Linked DNA regions of Caenorhabditis elegans. The protein of the gene in region 1 interacts with the protein of each later gene in a biochemical or structural test. Each region holds a gene or a part of one and is shown in the gene's direction. Other genes may lie near its edges.

Evidence for each region. The genes of interacting proteins can lie anywhere in the genome.
Region 2: of the proteins of lin-14 (region 1) and ced-3, one has a biochemical effect on the other in vitro, tested with the Caenorhabditis elegans proteins (one study listed by BioGRID).

What each region holds. Positions count from the first base shown.
Region 1 is NC_003284.9:11,463,553-11,467,308, forward strand, and holds the start of lin-14 (Protein lin-14), read left to right. Parts: upstream 1-2,007; 5' UTR 2,008-2,115; intron 2,116-3,623; exon of another isoform or gene 3,624-3,756. UniProt on the Caenorhabditis elegans protein: Heterochronic protein which controls the choice of stage specific cell fates. Involved in the temporal progression of vulval fate patterning, possibly by inhibiting lin-12.
Region 2 is NC_003282.8:13,202,391-13,206,146, reverse strand, and holds the start of ced-3 (Cell death protein 3 subunit p17), read left to right. Parts: upstream 1-2,009; 5' UTR 2,010-2,080; coding exon 2,081-2,215; intron 2,216-2,278; coding exon 2,279-2,424; intron 2,425-2,702; coding exon 2,703-2,956; intron 2,957-3,756.

The sequences.
Region 1 (3,756 bases):
TTCAATATGCAATCAGCATTGAAACAGCTGACCGCGTTGGGCGCGTGAGGTTTTAAATGAGGAAAACAGACAGAAAAATGTACGTCAAAAAGTCGATTTTTGAGAGCACCCAATTGAACACAGACAGATATCGAAACATACCAAGAGTGTAATGAATTGGCAATGCAAAACGGATTACAAAGTGTTGCGACAGACGGTGATGGATACCGATTGCACAATTTCTATGGCGCGAGAAGGGGGGGGCTCATGATGAACGGCTTGCGGGAGATGGACAACTGTTCTTTTTCCTTCATCTTCCAGAAAAAGTACATCTGTGTGGGTTTGTGAGAACATCTATCTCCTCATCATTGAGCATTTGGAGCTTTCCATTCGGTGACTGGTCGTTCTTCTGCTGCCGTGTCTCTAACTTCTCGATTCGCAGCCACTTTTTCGTTTCGATTATTTATATTTTTCCAATCTACAGCTTCATATTGTTTAACACATTCTCAAATCTTTCCCGCCTTATCAGGCCTCGTTGCGCTTTCGGTTCGTCGTCTCGTTCACGGACAACCTATCATCACACAAGCCGTGCCCAGAGACGTAAAAAGATGAAGCGAGTTTCAATTAATATTATTATTTGCAATCATATTTTCTTTCCACCCTTTTCCGAATTTTGCCAGGTTCCAACGCAGTAGTGTACGCTAAAAAGTGCGTGAGAGAGAAATAGAATGAGAGTTGAGAAGACTGTTTAAAGCGAGAATTCTTATCAGTAGTTTTTGATTCAAATTTGGTGTGTTACATTTTCCCGCACCGATAAGTGCATTGTGCTTATGAATGCCGAAGGAATATTGAACTAAAGTGTGAAATGCGGAATCAAACGGCCTTTTTCGCATTTTTCTTATCGGCCCCTTATTGCGAGTCACTTCAAAATGTAGGAAATGAAGGAACTAGTGCAAATGTTCATCATCACATGGTTGCACACACAAAAGAAAACGGGTGAGAGGCAGACAAAAATAAATGGTCCTGTTTCTTGTCGTCCCCATCTCCGTTTCTTTCTTCTCATCTCCAAATGACTTCTCTAGACTTTCTAGGACTCCTCAGCCTCAGTGCACATGCACATTTTTATTTTCTTTTTTCCTGGACTTTTCTCCAACCCTCCTCATCATCATCATTGTTTTCTATCTTTCTTCACACGTCCCGCTCCCACTGACAAATGTTCTTTGGAGAAGGATCTCTTCGAGAAAAGTGCGCCTAGAGAACAAATTCCATGAAGGCAAATAAAACCGAATGTGTAATGAAGAATGTTTCAAAATAGGGAATTGCCTAGAGAAAAATGTGCGAATCTCAAATTCAACAATCGGAAGAGTGGAACTGCTAACCATTTGCCCTTGAGAACAGGGGAGTACGGTAGTTTGAACACAAGAAGATATTTCGGATATTAGAAGAATACTTGTGTTGACCATGGGTTTTGTTTCCTATAAAAAATGTTGTCCTAAAATCCTGAGCATCCCTGGAGACTCGGAGGACGGACCACTCGGAAAAAAGTGCTCAATTTTTTGTCTCTTTTTTGAATGTATTTTCATGTGTGTGTTTCTTTTTTTTTCTCAGTGACGAATGGGAAGAAATAACCGCCGAAACTCAACATCGTGCCGATTGAGGTTGATCGGGGCAGGCTGAGAAGAAGAAAAAGAATCGGAGAGGGGAGCGGCGGCAAAAGAAGCGACTGTCGTTTTTGTGTCTATCACCTCCTGATCTAGCATGATGTTTCAACCATGCCCGCCGATCCGTTCTATATGTTCTTTCTTTTTTATTCACAAGGAGGCGCAGGCATGGGTGGCGTAAAATAGTACTGGCAAACGGGGAGAGTCGGAGGAACCTCGTTGTATTTTCTCAAATTCTCCCCGAATTCAGCATAGGCTTCGGGCGCTGGGAGGTCTCTACGTCTCTTCAGTTCATTGTATGTTTGGCAAATAGCAATATATCTCTGCAGGGGAGTGCGTCTCGTCGTCAAGCGCCTCTCTCCGCTTCTATCGAAGTACCGCGTTCGTGCGCTTTCTGCAGTTAGTCGTCTATTCCACGCTGGTGTCCGCCGGGCATTCTTCCATTCCCAGATCTGACAAATCTGCAATTTTTTTGGTAAGTAATGTTTTCTCAAATTAAGCTAGATTTGATTACGGTATTATGCGTCTCTCAAAAGTAAAAAATCACTCGAACACCTAGGTTTAACTTGAAAAAACGTCTAGGTAACAAAAAACAACTGGAAAAACTTTAAATGTCAAATTTGAAGTGGTTTATAAAAATGTTCTTATCAATATAGTGATTCGGATAAAAACTGAAAAAATGGAATGAAAAAGGAAATCCGTGCTATACGACGAACATGATCTAGTTTTTCTTTGCCCTTCTTTTCTCTCACTCACATGATTCTCAGTTGACACTAGCGAATTCGAATTCGAATATCGAATTCAAATTGTTTTTCCTCCGTCTGCCGATTTTGTTTTTCTCGTTCACTCGATGTGCACCCAATTACATTTCATCTTATTTTTTTTCTTTTCAAGCACATTCTTGTTGTACAATTTGCCTAATAACTTTTCAGTCCCTAATTCTGAAGACAGAAAGTGATAAACTACTAATAAAGTTGGTGGGCAAAGCAAATAATAAGTTTGTAAAATGTTGGCTATTGTCTGTCAAGAACATGCTTTTATCAGTATTTTTATACTGACCATTCTGTCCATCTCATAAGAGTTCAGTTCTAGTGCGCTCGCGGAAAAATTATCATTCCCGTACCGATCGTTAACTGCCACCGAGTTTTGTCGTGCCATGCTCATCGTGTTACGTTTGCAATTATTTTTTGGCTTTGAAAAATATCCATTTCTAAATTTTCATTCACAGCCAACCCATTTACGCACTTTCTTGACCTGATGTTTTTTTTTTCTCTGTCCAAAAAGTACAGTTTTCGAATTGAAAGTCTATATTGGCGAGCTATGGTCATTTTAAGTTAGTTGTGTTCGTTCATCTCCGTCACCTACCACATTTTTTTCGTTGGTAGTTCTATTGACAAACTTCCCTAGCTAAACAAATAAGGTCCACAAAATCGTTCGGACAACTCGAGAACATAGGAAATGTTGCGATTGGTAAAAGAACAACGCGAGTTTCTTTTTTGTTGTATTTTCTAATCTTCGTCTCTCCGTCTAAATCTATTTATAGTTCCGCAGGATTTTTCTATACTTCCTGTAAAAGAAACACATTTTACTCATTTAAAGATATTTATTTGCTTTTAGTTCATCGTAGAGTTTCCAATTTGTCAATAGATGTTTCTTATTCAAAACAAAAACTTTTTTTTTTCCGAAAAATGTGATACAATAGTTTTTTAGGTATAAATTTTAGTATAACTTTTAGCTTTCAATCGAACAAATGTGACATTCTCAACCATACATATTAAATTTTTATCGTTTCGGCACAGCACTTTAGGTGTACTTACAATCAGGCGTCTTCATGACGATTAAATGTTCTAATGTTAATGACACATCACTCCGCTTCAAATTTTTTTGTTGAAGATTTTATCACTAATTCCTAAAAAAGTCAGTTGTGTCAATCCTTTTTGCGGACGAATAGCACCTGTCAACGCTGTTCTTTCCATTAGTTCACGAGGCCTTACTTACACGTTTCGTTTTAAATTCGATGTTGCTTCCCAAGCCATTTTCAAAACCTGGTCATGTTCAATGGCAGGTCTCTATGCCACCCATTTATTTAATGCATGCAAACTTGCATTCGCCCCGG
Region 2 (3,756 bases), on another chromosome or scaffold:
TTCATGCTCATCCTCGAGCGGCAGCGTCTCAAAGAATTGTGAGAGCAAACGCGCTCCATTGACCTCCACACTCAGCCGCCAAAAACAAACGTTCGAACATTCGTGTGTTGTGCCTCCTTTTCCGTTATCTTGCAGTCATCTTTTGTCGTTTTTTTCTTTGTTCTTTTTGTTGAACGTGTTGCTAAGCAATTATTACATCAATTGAAGAAAAGGCTCGCCGATTTATTGTTGCCAGAAAGATTCTGAGATTCTCGAAGTCGATTTTATAATATTTAACCTTGGTTTTTGCATTGTTTCGTTTAAAAAAACCACTGTTTATGTGAAAAACGATTAGTTTACTAATAAAACTACTTTTAAACCTTTACCTTTACCTCACCGCTCCGTGTTCATGGCTCATAGATTTTCGATACTCAAATCCAAAAATAAATTTACGAGGGCAATTAATGTGAAACAAAAACAATCCTAAGATTTCCACATGTTTGACCTCTCCGGCACCTTCTTCCTTAGCCCCACCACTCCATCACCTCTTTGGCGGTGTTCTTCGAAACCCACTTAGGAAAGCAGTGTGTATCTCATTTGGTATGCTCTTTTCGATTTTATAGCTCTTTGTCGCAATTTCAATGCTTTAAACAATCCAAATCGCATTATATTTGTGCATGGAGGCAAATGACGGGGTTGGAATCTTAGATGAGATCAGGAGCTTTCAGGGTAAACGCCCGGTTCATTTTGTACCACATTTCATCATTTTCCTGTCGTCCTTGGTATCCTCAACTTGTCCCGGTTTTGTTTTCGGTACACTCTTCCGTGATGCCACCTGCTCCGTCTCAATTATCGTTTAGAAATGTGAACTGTCCAGATGGGTGACTCATATTGCTGCTGCTACAATCCACTTTCTTTTCTCATCGGCATGCTTACGAGCCCATCATAAACTTTTTTTTCCGCGAAATTTGCAATAAACCGGCCAAAAACTTTCTCCAAATTGTTACGCAATATATACAATCCATAAGAATATCTTCTCAATGTTTATGATTTCTTCGCAGCACTTTCTCTTCGTGTGCTAACATCTTATTTTTATAATATTTCCGCTAAAATTCCGATTTTTGAGTATTAATTTATCGTAAAATTATCATAATAGCACCGAAAACTACAAAAAATGGTAAAGTCTTTTAAATCGGCTCGACATTATCGTATTAAGGAATCACAAAATTCTGAGAATGCGTACTGCGCAACATATTTGACGCGCAAAATATCTCGTAGCGAAAACTACAGTAATTCTTTAAATGACTACTGTAGCGCTTGTGTCGATTTACGGGCTCAATTTTTGAAAATAATTTTTTTTTTCGAATTTTGACAACCCGTAAATCGTCACAAGCGCTACGGTAGTCATTTAAAGGATTACTGTAGTTCTAGCTACGAGATATTTTGCGCGCCAAATATGATGCGTAATACGCATTCTCTGAATTTTGTGTTTCCGTAATAATTTCACAAGATTTTGGCATTCCTCTTTAAAGGCGCACGGATTTATTCCAATGGGTCTCGGCACGCAAAAAGTTTGATAGACTTTTAAATTCTCCTTGCATTTTTAATTCAATTACTAAAATTTTCGTGAATTTTTCTGTTAAAATTTTTAAAATCAGTTTTCTAATATTTTCCAGGCTGACAAACAGAAACAAAAACACAACAAACATTTTAAAAATCAGTTTTCAAATTAAAAATAACGATTTCTCATTGAAAATTGTGTTTTATGTTTGCGAAAATAAAAGAGAACTGATTCAAAACAATTTTAACAAAAAAAAACCCCAAAATTCGCCAGAAATCAAGATAAAAAATTCAAGAGGGTCAAAATTTTCCGATTTTACTGACTTTCACCTTTTTTTTCGTAGTTCAGTGCAGTTGTTGGAGTTTTTGACGAAAACTAGGAAAAAAATCGATAAAAATTACTCAAATCGAGCTGAATTTTGAGGACAATGTTTAAAAAAAAACACTATTTTTCCAATAATTTCACTCATTTTCAGACTAAATCGAAAATCAAATCGTACTCTGACTACGGGTCAGTAGAGAGGTCAACCATCAGCCGAAGATGATGCGTCAAGATAGAAGGAGCTTGCTAGAGAGGAACATTATGATGTTCTCTAGTCATCTAAAAGTCGATGAAATTCTCGAAGTTCTCATCGCAAAACAAGTGTTGAATAGTGATAATGGAGATATGATTAATGTGAGTTTTTAATCGAATAATAATTTTAAAAAAAAATTGATAATATAAAGAATATTTTTGCAGTCATGTGGAACGGTTCGCGAGAAGAGACGGGAGATCGTGAAAGCAGTGCAACGACGGGGAGATGTGGCGTTCGACGCGTTTTATGATGCTCTTCGCTCTACGGGACACGAAGGACTTGCTGAAGTTCTTGAACCTCTCGCCAGATCGTAGGTTTTTAAAGTTCGGCGCAAAAGCAAGGGTCTCACGGAAAAAGAGGCGGATCGTAATTTTGCAACCCACCGGCACGGTTTTTTCCTCCGAAAATCGGAAATTATGCACTTTCCCAAATATTTGAAGTGAAATATATTTTATTTACTGAAAGCTCGAGTGATTATTTATTTTTTAACACTAATTTTCGTGGCGCAAAAGGCCATTTTGTAGATTTGCCGAAAATACTTGTCACACACACACACACACATCTCCTTCAAATATCCCTTTTTTCCAGTGTTGACTCGAATGCTGTCGAATTCGAGTGTCCAATGTCACCGGCAAGCCATCGTCGGAGCCGCGCATTGAGCCCCGCCGGCTACACTTCACCGACCCGAGTTCACCGTGACAGCGTCTCTTCAGTGTCATCATTCACTTCTTATCAGGATATCTACTCAAGAGCAAGATCTCGTTCTCGATCGCGTGCACTTCATTCATCGGATCGACACAATTATTCATCTCCTCCAGTCAACGCATTTCCCAGCCAACCTTGTATGTTGATGCGAACACTAAATTCTGAGAATGCGCATTACTCAACATATTTGACGCGCAAAATATCTCGTAGCGAAAAATACAGTAACCCTTTAAATGACTATTGTAGTGTCGATTTACGGGCTCGATTTTCGAAACGAATATATGCTCGAATTGTGACAACGAATTTTAATTTGTCATTTTTGTGTTTTCTTTTGATATTTTTGATCAATTAATAAATTATTTCCGTAAACAGACACCAGCGCTACAGTACTCTTTTAAAGAGTTACAGTAGTTTTCGCTTCAAGATATTTTGAAAAGAATTTTAAACATTTTGAAAAAAAATCATCTAACATGTGCCAAAACGCTTTTTTCAAGTTTCGCAGATTTTTTGATTTTTTTCATTCAAGATATGCTTATTAACACATATAATTATCATTAATGTGAATATCTTGTAGAAATTTTGGTTTTCGTTCTAGTATGCTCTACTTTTGAAATTGCTCAACGAAAAAATCATGTGGTTGTTCATATGATGACGAAAAATGCATTTTTTATATATTTTCCCCTATTCATGTGTGCAGAAAAATGTAAAAAAGCGCATGCATTTTTCGACATTTTTTACATCGAACGACAGCTCACTTCACATGCTGAAGACGAGAGACGCGGAGAAATACCACACATCTTTCTGCGTCTCTCGTCTTCAGCATGTGAAATGGGATGTCGGTCGATGTAAAAAAATGTCGAATAATGTAAAAAATGCATGCGTTTTTTTACACTTTTCTGCACAAATGAATAGGGGGAAAATGTATTAAAATACATTT